3 linked regions of the Macaca fascicularis genome follow. The protein of the gene in region 1 interacts with the protein of each later gene in a pairwise test. Links are inferred from orthologs where the notes say so. Each region holds a gene or a part of one and is shown in the gene's direction. Other genes may lie near its edges.

The links. The genes of interacting proteins can lie anywhere in the genome.
Region 2: the proteins of GOLGA2 (region 1) and RAB39B interact in binary tests that used the Homo sapiens proteins (3 or more experiments, as listed by UniProt). The two-hybrid records come from large-scale screens. The link is inferred for Macaca fascicularis from reciprocal best matches to the Homo sapiens genes GOLGA2 and RAB39B.
Region 3: the proteins of GOLGA2 (region 1) and MFAP1 interact in binary tests that used the Homo sapiens proteins (3 or more experiments, as listed by UniProt). The two-hybrid records come from large-scale screens. The link is inferred for Macaca fascicularis from reciprocal best matches to the Homo sapiens genes GOLGA2 and MFAP1.

The regions. Positions count from the first base shown.
Region 1 is NC_088389.1:15,716,322-15,719,847, forward strand, and holds part of GOLGA2 (golgin subfamily A member 2), read left to right. Parts: intron 1-137; coding exon 138-188; intron 189-276; coding exon 277-370; intron 371-466; coding exon 467-573; intron 574-3,396; coding exon 3,397-3,455; intron 3,456-3,526. UniProt on the Homo sapiens protein: Peripheral membrane component of the cis-Golgi stack that acts as a membrane skeleton that maintains the structure of the Golgi apparatus, and as a vesicle thether that facilitates vesicle fusion to the Golgi membrane.
Region 2 is NC_088395.1:161,375,260-161,379,387, reverse strand, and holds the start of RAB39B (ras-related protein Rab-39B), read left to right. Parts: upstream 1-1,321; 5' UTR 1,322-1,521; coding exon 1,522-1,736; intron 1,737-4,128. UniProt on the Homo sapiens protein: The small GTPases Rab are key regulators of intracellular membrane trafficking, from the formation of transport vesicles to their fusion with membranes.
Region 3 is NC_088381.1:20,408,778-20,413,061, reverse strand, and holds the start of MFAP1 (microfibrillar-associated protein 1), read left to right. Parts: upstream 1-1,477; 5' UTR 1,478-1,595; coding exon 1,596-1,674; intron 1,675-4,284. UniProt on the Homo sapiens protein: Involved in pre-mRNA splicing as a component of the spliceosome.

The DNA.
Region 1 (3,526 bases):
CATCCCCACAGGGTCCCTGATAACCTGGTCCCATGGGTGGGCCGGTCCTGGGGCATTGGTGGCATTCTGGGGGCATGTCCCTTGCTGTGCCATCTCTGCCTCCCCCTAGTAAGAGCTCTGTCTTCCTCTTCCTGTAGGAAAAGAAAGAATGCCACCAAAAGCAGGGAGCCCTAAGGGAGCAGTTACAGGTGAGTGGAGGGGGTGAAGTTCCGCCCTGTCCTCTGGAGAATGTTTCTTTCCTTCTTTTTCAGCACTTGCTTGGGTTTCCTCCCAAAGGTTCACATTCAGACCATAGGGATCCTCGTATCAGAGAAAGCTGAGTTACAGACAGCCCTGGCTCACACTCAGCATGCTGCCAGGCAGAAAGAAGGTGGGAATCTGGGCACCCCATCATCCTTCAACCTGGCACTTTGACAGGCCTTTAGGGTGAGTCCTTTGGACCCCATCTCAACCTCTCTCATTCCAGGAGAGTCCGAAGATCTGGCCAGTCGCCTGCAGTATTCCCGGAGGCGTGTGGGAGAGTTGGAGCGGGCTCTCTCTGCTGTCTCCACGCAGCAGAAGAAAGCAGACAGGGTGAGTCCAACTGCCTGCCCCGAACCCTGGCAGCCTGGCTTCCCAGGTGGAGGAGTGAGCCTAAAGGTCTCTTCTGCAGGGTTGAGTGTCCTGCCCAGAAGGCAGCATGGGCCATTTGTCACTGCTTTTGTGTGTGGTTGTTAGAGGCATCCTGGGGCTGAGTCAGCTGCTGTGGGTGGGTGGGGGGGCACTGTGAGGAGTGAACACTGGACACAGAGCTCAGAGGCCAAGTGCCCGCCCTGCCCTTACCTGGCTGTGGCCTTGGCCAAGTCCTAGGTTGGGGAATGTGGTATTTGTTCTGTGAAGGTACAGAAGAGTATCTTTAGTATGTTACCATTTGTGTAGAGAGAGGGAACGTGTGTGTGTGTGTCTGTGTGTGTGTCCGTGTGTCTGTACATATGTACTGTGACAATATACATAAAACATGTCTGCAAGGATTCATAAAAAACTCAGGAGAGAGGAGCAGCATGGCTGGAAGATATTTCCCTTCTGTACCTTCAGAGTTTTGGACTATGCGAATGTATGATCCTTTCAAAAATTGAACAAAAGATTAATTTCCCTCTTCCTATCTGTGCCCCCACCCCCAGGGAACAAATGAACTTAGAGAGTCAGATATACCTGGCTATTCAAATCCCAGCTCTGTCTAAGTGATCTTAGGCAAACACTTAACCTCTAATACTACATATTTTTCATCTACAAAATAGAGGTAATAATATTGCAGTGAGCTGTCTCATGTGGTGATTATGAGGATTAAATGGGATTATTAGCATGGTGCCTGGTGAAACACTCAATAAAGGTTCAAACAGTGGTAGTAATAATGATAATAACAATAGCAATATTATCTGATCTCTCTGGGCCTCTGTTAGCCAGCTGTAAATTCGATCTTGGCCAGGTGTGGTGGCTTATAGCTGTAATCCCAGCACTTTGGGAGGCCGAGGTGGGCAGGTCAACTGAGGTCAGGGGTTTGAGACCAGCCTGACCAACATGGCAAAACCCTGTCTCTACTAAAAATACAAAAAATTAGCCAGGTGTGGTGGCAGGTGCCTGTAATCCCAGCTACTTGGGAGGCTGAGGTAGGAGAATTGCTTGAACCCGGGGGCGGAAGTTGCAGTGAGCCGAGATCACACCACTGCCCTCCAGCCTGGGTGACAGAGGGAGACTCCGTTTCTAAATAAATAAATAAATATACAAAAATTAGCCAGGTGTGGTGGTGCATGCCTGTAATCCTAGGTACTCAGGAGCCTGAGGTAGGAGAATCACATGACCCCGGGAGGCAGAGGTTGCAGTGAGCCAAGATGGCACCATTGCATTTCAGCCTGGGTGACAGAGGGAGACTCCATCTCAAATAAATACATATATACATACATACATAAATTCACTGTCTTTTCCTGTCCCTTTCACTCTTACCAAGCTCTGTATTTTTTTTTTTTTGGAGACGGAGTCTCGCTCTGTTGCCCAGGCTGGAGTGCAGTGGCCGGATCTCAGCTCGCTGCAAGCTCCGCCTCCCGGATTTAGGCCATTCTCCTGCCTCAGCCTCCCAAGTAGCTGGGACTACAGGCGCCTGCCACCACACTCGGCTAGTTTTTGATATTTTTTTGGTAGAGACGGGGTTTCACCGTGTTAGCCAGGATGGTCTCGATCTCCTGACCTCGTGATCCGCCAGTCTTGGCCTCCCAAAGTGCTGGGATTACAGGCGTGAGCCACTGCGCCCGGCCTTTTTTTTTTTTTTTTTTTGAGACGGAGTCTCACTCTGTCACCCAGGCTGGAGTGCAGTGGTGCCATCTTGGCTTACTGCAAGCTCTGTCTCCCGGGTTCACTCCATTCTCCTGCCTCAGCCTCCCAAGTAGCTGGGATTACAGGCACCCGCCACCACGCCCGGCTAACTTTTTGTATTTTTTTTTTTAAGTAGAGATGGGGTTTCACCGTGTTAGCCAGGATGGTCTCGATCTTCTGACCTCGTGATCCACCCACCTTGGCCTCCCAAAATGCTGGGATTACAGGTGTGAGCCACCGCGCCCGGCCACCCTTACCAAGTTCTTTTAAAAACAAATGAGACCAGCTGGGCACGGTGGCTCACACCTGTAATTCCAACACTTTAGAAGGTTGAGGCGGGTGGATCACTTGAGGTCAGGAGTTCAAGACCAGCCGGGCCAACATGGTGAAACCCCATCTCTACTAAAAATACAAAAATTAGGCTGGGCGTGGTAGCTCACGCCTGTTATCCCAGTACTTTGGGAGGCTGAGATGGGTGGATCACAAGGTCAGGAGATCGAGACCATCCTGGCTAACATGGTGAAACCCCGTCTCTACTAAAAATACAAAAAAATTAGCCAGGTATGGTGGCAGGCACCTGTAGTCCCAGCTACTTAGGAGGCTGAGGCAGGAGAATGGCGTGAACCTGGGAGGCAGAGCTTGCATTGAGCAGAGATGGCGCCACTGCACTCCAGCCTGGGTGACAGAGTGAGACTCCGTCTCAGAAAAACAAAAACAAAAACAAATTAGCCGGACATGGTGGCGTGTGCCTGTAGTCCCAACTACTCAGGAGGCTGAGGCAGGAGAGTCACTTGGACCTGGGAGGCGGAGGTTGTGAGCTGAGATCTCACCACTGCACTTCAGCCTGGGTGACAGAGCGAGACTCTGTCTCAAAAACAACAACAACAACAACAAAATGAGACCGTGGGCTTGGAAATGCCTTGAAAACATGTCAAGCGTGATTGAGAGTGAAGAAGTGTTACTGTGGAGTAGTTACTGTAGCTATTGTTACTGGTCGGCCAGCTGCTCCTCTGCCTGCTATATCCTGACTTAACCTTTCTGTGTTTACAGTACAACAAGGAGTTAACCAAAGAGAGAGATGCCCTCAGGCTGGAGTTATACAAGAACACGTAGGACGGGGGATGGTGGGATGGGAGGTCTGGGGGCCCTTAGCATGGGTGGTGTGCTGGGAGGTGGGGGG
Region 2 (4,128 bases), on another chromosome or scaffold:
CCTCAATGAATGAATGGATAAACAAGATGTGGTCTATCCATACAATGGAATAGTATTCAGCCACAAAAAGGAATGAAGTACTGATACTAGCTATAGTGTGAATGAACCTTGAAAACATTATGCTAAGTGAAAGCAGCTAGTCACAAAAATGCACATATTATGTGATAACACGTATATGAAATGTTCAGAATAGAGAAATTTATAGAGACAGAAAGTACATTAATGGTTGCCAAAGGCTGGAGGAACATGGGATAGAGAGACGATAGCTAAAAGGTTCTGGGTTATTTTTTGAAGTGATAAAAATGTTCTAAAATTAACCGTGGTGATAGTTGTACATATCTGTGAGTATATTAAAAATCTATGCTAAGAATTTTTCACTTTAAATGGGTGAATTGTGCAGTATGTGAATTTCCATGTTAATAAGGCTGAGTTTTTTAAAGAGTAAGGCAACGATAAAAGATTACACACAAAAAATACAAAGGATATGAAGAGACAATTCCCAGAAGAGGAAATGAAGTGGTCAATACACAAGACTTGTTATTGACCTCATCAGTAGTCAGAGAAATGTAAAATAAAGCAATGAGACATATTTTTATTTAACTACATTCTATTGACAAGAATTAAGAAAGAATAAAACATACATATGATGCTTGAAATAATGCAGAGCAATGACCTTTTCACACATTGTTGGGTAGAGTTTAAACTGCTAGTTTTGAAAGGTAGAATGGCCATGTCCATTAAATTTAAAGTACTCATACTCTTTGAATTCATGGCCTCTCTTTTAAGACTCTAGCTCATAGAAATAAAATACGTGTGACTACACTTTAAAGAATCTTTACTGCAGCATTGTTATGACAAAAGGGAAATTAGGTGGAAATGGAAAGATATTTATGATGCTTTATTAACTGCAGAAAGCAATTATTAATTGAAAGTAAGGCCTCAGTTTAATTTTTGTAAAAACAAACAGCAATAAATGTATATGGGAATACAAACACATATAATATTTGTGTGTTTACGTGAGCATGGAAACACTTGTAGACTAATATATAATTATGTACCTTCCCTTTCTTGAGTAGTTTTGTATTGCTTTGCTAGTTTCAATGAAAAGGTATGACATTTGCAGTCTGAACGACAGAAAACATTTTTAATTAACAGAGGGTGGGTGGGGTAATTAGAAAGGGAGGGAACGCGCTAATTTTGCAGCCATTTTGTGTGCGCTCCTCTTACAGACAGTGCGGCGGCCCAGGCGTCGCATCTACGCTGGGGATTACAGTAACCCGGTTGTCAGTGATGAGTCAGAGTGCGTGGTGCTGATGCTGCTGCCATTTCATCACCTTTGCAAGCGCAGCATCCATCCCTCCGCTATCCGGGCGCCTGGGCCTACCCAGCTTCGGGTTCCCAGGTCAGCGATGCGCTCGCGGCTGAGCTAGATCCTGCCGAGCCGCGCTCTCTGAGGCGTCGGCGGGGCGCCCCCTCCCGCCGTCCCGGGTCCGAGCCAAGGAGACCTGCAGAGCCGCGGCCATGGAGGCCATCTGGCTGTACCAGTTCCGGCTCATTGTCATCGGGGATTCCACAGTGGGCAAGTCCTGCCTGATCCGCCGCTTCACCGAGGGTCGCTTTGCCCAGGTTTCTGACCCCACCGTGGGGGTGGATTTTTTCTCCCGCTTGGTGGAGATCGAGCCGGGAAAACGCATCAAGCTCCAGATCTGGGATACCGCGGGTCAAGAGAGGTTCAGGTGGGAGCGCAGTCCGGGCCCGCAAGCAGTGGGAGGGTCTTCGGGGTTTGCACAGCCTCTGGGGAGAGAGAACTTCCTGGTCCTAGTCGCGGTCCAGGAGGGCAACACTAAGGGTCTTGGGGAGTCTACCGAAGCCCACCTTTGGCTAACCCGGAGCAGTGCAAGGAAAGAAGCGCCCTGGCAGGGAAGGCCGGTCAATAACACATATTGCTTGCACCACAACTCCACCAACCTGCCCCTTGGTGGCTAATAAACTAGCTGGAATTGATTTCTGTATCTGTAATTCATCAATCTCAGTCCCTATGTTACGTACTTTCAAAAATGTTCCCAGGTCATCCTAACATAACTGACAGAGATTTAGATACATAAATACATGTGTATTATGTTTTATTTCCATATCTGTGTGTGTGCACATATATATGCTAACATATGTTCTAACATAAAGGAAATACATAAGATTGATTCCTTCTTGCAACCAGCACACATTCAGTGATCATCTACTATGTGCCAGACTCCGGGCTTGTTTCTGGGAAAACAGTGTGAGGAAACTCATACAAGGGGATGCCATGTAATCAAAACAGACAAAGCCCCTTCACTCTTGGAACTTCTGTGCTAACATAGTTGAGGGAAATAATAGATAATCAGCAATTACAAAAATGTGTCTTGCTCATATTTGTATGCCCACTCCTTACTGTAACACTTGGCACATAATGAATATGCTTAATTTCAATGAATTCATTGAATAATCAATGAATATGTTTACTTTCACTCAAAACCCTTTGCTTTTCTTTTGTAGCATGTATTATTTGTAATTATATGTATGAACACAGAGGAGGAAAGGTTAACTGGAGAAGATGAGACCGGATGAGTATGACTGCCCAAGCAAAGACAGGAAACGCCCAGGGATAGGAAACAGGATGAATAAAGACAGAAGTGAGAGGGAACAGAGTGTACACAGAAAACTTTGCAGGGAACAATTTGAACTAAAGTAGAGCAGCAGGAACCAGATCAAGAAAACTCAATAGCCCAAGTTTATGATCATTTGCTCATTTATCTATTGAAAACTAACTAACCATAGAAGATACGGGTTGGATAATTGAAGAGTGGTAAGGAGAAATAATTACAAACTTAAGTTGCCTCCAGCTCCTCACTTCCACAAACAACACTGTGGAAAATATCCTTGTACAGGTTCACTTTGAACTTGTGATTACATTTCTCCTAAGCAAAGAAAGGTATCTTTTATGCGTTTGTTGGAATTTCTTTCTATATGAACAGCCTGTTCACATCCACTGCTTATTATTTATTGGGCAGTATGGACTTGTAAGAGTACTTTATAGATTAAGAATATTAACGCTTTCCTGTCATGTATGTTGTAACATATATTCCTAGTTTATCATTTGTCTTTTCACATTATTTAAGATTTTTTAATGTAGGGAGGAATTTAAGGTTTATGTAGCCTTATGTCCATGCTTAGAAGGCCTTTGTCACTTTCTTTGCTAAGTACTCACAAACAATTGATTTCTTGAATCAAGCTTTTCACAAATCAAAACCTTTGTTTGTTCATGTCTAATTTTCTGGTAAATCTACCATTCTCCATGAATATTCAAACCTAAGAGACAAGAAATGCTTTCAGTCCCCAGGGCTGATTTGCCTGATTCTGGAGACTTAAACTCATTTGTAAGTTTTACTTTTACCATCATCTAGCTTGGACTGTAGGTCCCTGGACAATGCTTGTTCTGTTAACACTGGGCCATTTTCCCTAAGCTATTGATTCCTTCATTGTCTATCTTCTTTATCTGAGGAGACAGAAAACCTAAAAATAGACATAGATTTTAAAAATCACAGTAGTCTAAAGCAAGTGATTGCAGAGACAAATAGGTCTATACCCTGTAATAAGCTTTAATACACTGTAAGCAAAGTGCCATAATGTATATTTATAATGAGGCTCCTCAAGTCAAGAAGTTAAAACATGTGAAGTTTCATCTGATGGCTCCTGAGTTGGCCTCTCTGAAATGTGTCAGGAAATAGGGCTGGGAGGCACTTTGCCTGAACCCTTCACCATCTTTCTTTTTCCATTCCCACAGGCCTGGAAAATAAAAAATAAAATTGTGTTTCTCCTCACAGAAGAGATTGAGGATCCCTGTTAGCTAATAATAATAATAATTAATAATAATAATAATGGAAAGAGAAAAACATGGTAATGATAAATGGAAAAAATGGAATATATAGCAAGATACCTACTTTAAATATTTTGTTAACTATCATAAATTCATTTCTATGTTTTAAAAATCCTGTTTCAACTACTAGCATTTGTAATGAACTCTCCACGTCACAGAACACTTTAATATCCATTGTTTCATTTTGCCTCATGGTGACACTGTGACTTAGGTAT
Region 3 (4,284 bases), on another chromosome or scaffold:
AAGTTTCCTTCTACCCAAAACTGTTTCCTTAGTTTCTTAATTGGGTCCCACACTGTTCTTGCCTGAGACTTGTCCAGTTTCATTTCTTCTCCCACTCAAGGCCCAGTTGTAGAACACAGGTGAAGTAATTTGGGTTAATCACATTAACAGCAACTTCAAGGCCCTCCATGACTCAAAAATTACTGATAAAACCAAACTTTTCATGGTGTCCTGTATAATGTATACTGTTTCTGGACTTCAGAACTTTGTTCCTGCTGTCCCTTGTCTCCTCCGCAGTTATAAAGTCCTTTCTAATGTGAAATGTGCTCTGACTTTCCAATTAGCATATATACATATATATATATATATTTTTTTTTTTTTTAACACAACCCAGCTTGTAAATTGGCGCTGCTTCTGTTATTATCCTGTAAGTCCTTAAAGAGTTCTTAAATAGGCCGGCCGCCGTGGCTTACATCTGTAGTCCCAGCACTTTGGGGAGGCCAAGGTAGGTGGATCATCTGAGGTCAGGAGTTCAAGACCAGCCTGGGCAACATGGTGAAACCCCACCTCTACTAAAAATACAAAAATTAGCCGGGAGTGGTGGCACACGCCACCACTCAGCACTGTGGGAGGCCGGAGTGGGATGATCTCTTGGGCCTGGCCAACATGGTCAAACCTCATCTCTACTAAAAATACAAAAATCAGCAGGGCGTGGTGGTGGGCACCTGTAATCCCAGCTACTCAGAAGGCTGAGGCACGAGAATCGCTTAAACCCGGGAGGTGGAGACTGCAGTAGGCCAACATCGAGCCACCACACTCCAGCCTGGGTGACAGAAGAAGACCCTGTCTCAAAATAATAATAATTACTTAGATATTTAAATACAAACGTTTTCCAATCAGGAATATATTCTAATAGGTATTTTCCAGAAACTGGAAAAACCTGAAAGCCTAGAAGTGGAGTTTTGGGATTTCAGGCAGGTAATGTCCCAGGCACCTTAAGAGATTTTTTTTTTTTTTTTTTTTTTTTTTGGTCACTGGCCTAAATCAGCACCACCCGCCCTGTGACACCAAATACTGCACCACAGCCCACCCTGGCCTCTTGAACTGAGCTAATCGGATACTACTGGCAAGATTTTTATTCCATCAAACTCTACTTCTTCTGAGCTTTCAACAAGCCAGACAAACAGTAACTCACTGTCGCCTGAGTTTCTTATTCACTATACCGTTCTTGGCTTCAAACCAAGCTAACACGTAAAATCTTTCATTCGAACCTTCCTCACCGCAGGGTCCTAACAGCAAAGCCCAAAGGAAGCAAAATTTCCCTCCAAAAGCAGCTTCCAAATTCTGCAACGTAGAGAACACGCGGGCAGCCGATGAGCATGCGCAGAAACACACTCAACGTCCTAGCTGTGGGCGCCCAAACGTCCTCCACCATCCCACAATCCTCTCGTCACGTATTTCCGGTTTATCTAGCTCAGCCGTAAGTAGTTTCTCTATCAGTCGCGCCGCTGTGTTCGTGGATTTAGGTGGAAGGAATTTCTTCTCTTCGTTGACGTTGTTGGTGTTCACTGTTTGGAATTAGTCAAGTTTCGGGAATCACCGTCGCTGCCATCAACATGTCGGTCCCAAGCGCTCTCATGAAGCAACCGCCCATTCAGTCTACGGCTGGGGCCGTCCCAGTTCGCAATGAGAAAGGTACGGTGCTGACACCCTCTTCCCAGTCGAATTTTAACCCCTTTCGGCCCCAGCAACCTCCAGACCTCTGGGACACACCACTCCAACCCCTCCAGCTCTTAAGATCTGGCTCCCAGATTCTTGGACCTTTCCACCCCCATCCCCTTGCATCCAATCTTGTTCCTGTGGCCTGCTTTCATATTCAGCAAGCACCTCTCTTAGCCTCCACAAATTCCTTAGACTTGTGTTACATATATATAATGTATATTACATATATTAAAATATTCGTTACTTAGGAAATTAAGTATATATCAGAATATATATGTTTAATACATGTATTCTAGAATATGATTTTGTTCTAATATATATAATGATTAGAATATAATATCACTAATTACATATAAATACTAGAATATATGTATTGTTAGTCTAATAATTACTAAGGAACTAAGTATATATAAATCTAATAATTAGGAACTTAAGTATATAGCAGAATATAGCAGAATATATACATAATATCAGACTAGATAGATAGATAGAGACTGCTTGTTGGCAGGGCTTTGTGCGGGATACGGTCCCTTTTTTGCTGTCCGTAGAAGTCTACTTATGCTGCCCAGGCTGGACTCGAACTCCTGGGGCTCAGGCTATCCTCCTGCCTCAGCCTCCCAAGTAGACGCCACCGTGTCTAGTCTCAACATGGCTTTTAAGAATTATCTTTTAATCCCTATACATCTAATTCATTCATCTTAACAGCTTATGAATTCCATTGTATAAAATAAAGTGTAATCCACAGTTTATTCCCTATTGAGGGGCAGGTGGTTGTCCGGTTGTTTAAAAAAGTGCTGCGGCCAGGCATGGTGTCTCCTGCCCGTAAACCCAGCACTTTGGGAGGCTGAGGCGGGCAGAACACCTGAGGTCAGGAGTTCGAGACCAGCCTGGTCAACATGGTGAAACCCCGTCTCTAATAAAAATATAAAAAATTAGCCATGTATGATGGTGGGTGCCTGTAATCCCAACTACTTAGGAATCTGAGACAGGAGAATTGCTTGAACCCGGGAGGTGGAGGTCGCAGTGAGCAGAGATCACACCATTGCCCTCCCGCCTGGGCCACAGTGTGAGACTCTGTGTCAAAAAAGGAAAAAAAAAAACAGTTCTGCATTTGTCATTCTGTAGCCAATACTAGCATTATTTAGTACCTGCTGCCAATTGCTCCTCAAAGTAAGTTGTAAGAACATAAGAATTTGTGGAGCACAGTGGCTCACACCTGTAATCCCAGCACTTTGGGAGGCTGAGGCAGGAGGCTCACTTGAGGCCAGGAGTTCAAGACCAGCTTGAGCAACATAGCAAGCCCCCCCCATCTCTACAGAAAAAATTAAAAATTAAGGCCCAGCTTGGTGGCTCACGCCTGTAATCCCAGCACTTTGGGAGGCTGAGGCAGGTGGATCACCTGAGGTCAGGAGTTCAAGATTAGCCTGGCCAACATGGTGAAACCCTGTCTCTACTAAAAATACAAAAATTAGCCGGGTGTGATGGCACACGCCTGTAATTCCAGCTGCTTGGAAGGCTGAGACAGGAGAATCACTTGAACCTGGGAGGCAGAAGTTGCAATGAGCTAAGATCACGCCACTGCACTCCAGCCTGACCAACACAGCAAGACTCCATCTCAAAAAAGAAAAGAAGGAAAACAAACTTCGAGAACCTAAGAGCTTGGCCGGGCGCGGTGGCTCAAGCCTGTAATCCCAGCACTTTGGGAGGCCGAGGCGGGTGGATCACGAGGTCAGGAGATCGAGACTATCCTGGCTAACATGGTGAAACCCCGTCTCTACTAAAAATACAAAAAACTAGCCGGGCGTGGTGGCGGGCGCCTGTAGTCTCAGCTACTTGGGAGGCTGAGGCGGGAGAATGGCGTGAACCCGGGAGGCGGAGCTTGCAGTGAGCCAAGATCAGGCCACTGCACTCCAGCCTGGGAGACACAGCGAGACTCCGTCTCAAAAAAAAAAAAAAAAAAAGAGAACCTAAGAGCTTTATTTCCCATATATTCATCATCTACAGACTTGGTTATACCAAATTTTTACATTTTTTGCCCAATCTGACAGGTGTTGAAATGGTATGTCATTATTCTAATTTGCATTCCCCTGATTACTAGTGATGCTGGGCTTTTTTGTTTTTTTTTTTTTTCACTCTTGTTGCCCAGGCTGGAGTGCAATGGCACCATCTCGGCTCACTGTAACCTCCTCCTCCCGAGTTCAAGCGATTCTCCTGCCTCAGCCTCCTGAGTAGCTGGGATTACAGGCATGGGCCACCATACCCAGCTGATTTTATATTTTTAGTACAGATGGGACTTCTCCATGTTGGTCAGGGTGGTCTCAAACTCCTGACCTCAGGTGATCCGCCCGCCTGGGCCTCACAAAGTGCTGGGGTTACAGGCGTGAGATTTATCAACTTGATCTTTTATAGTTTTAGCTTGTTTTTTGGTATATCGTTTAAAAAATAATCCTTCCCTGCACTGAGATCACAGATACTCGTATTGTAAAGGTTTTCTATCTTCTGAGTGTTTGTATATATTAAATTGAATTCAATACACACTTATACAAGACAGATTATAAGTTAGGAAGCTTACAGTCCAGTAAG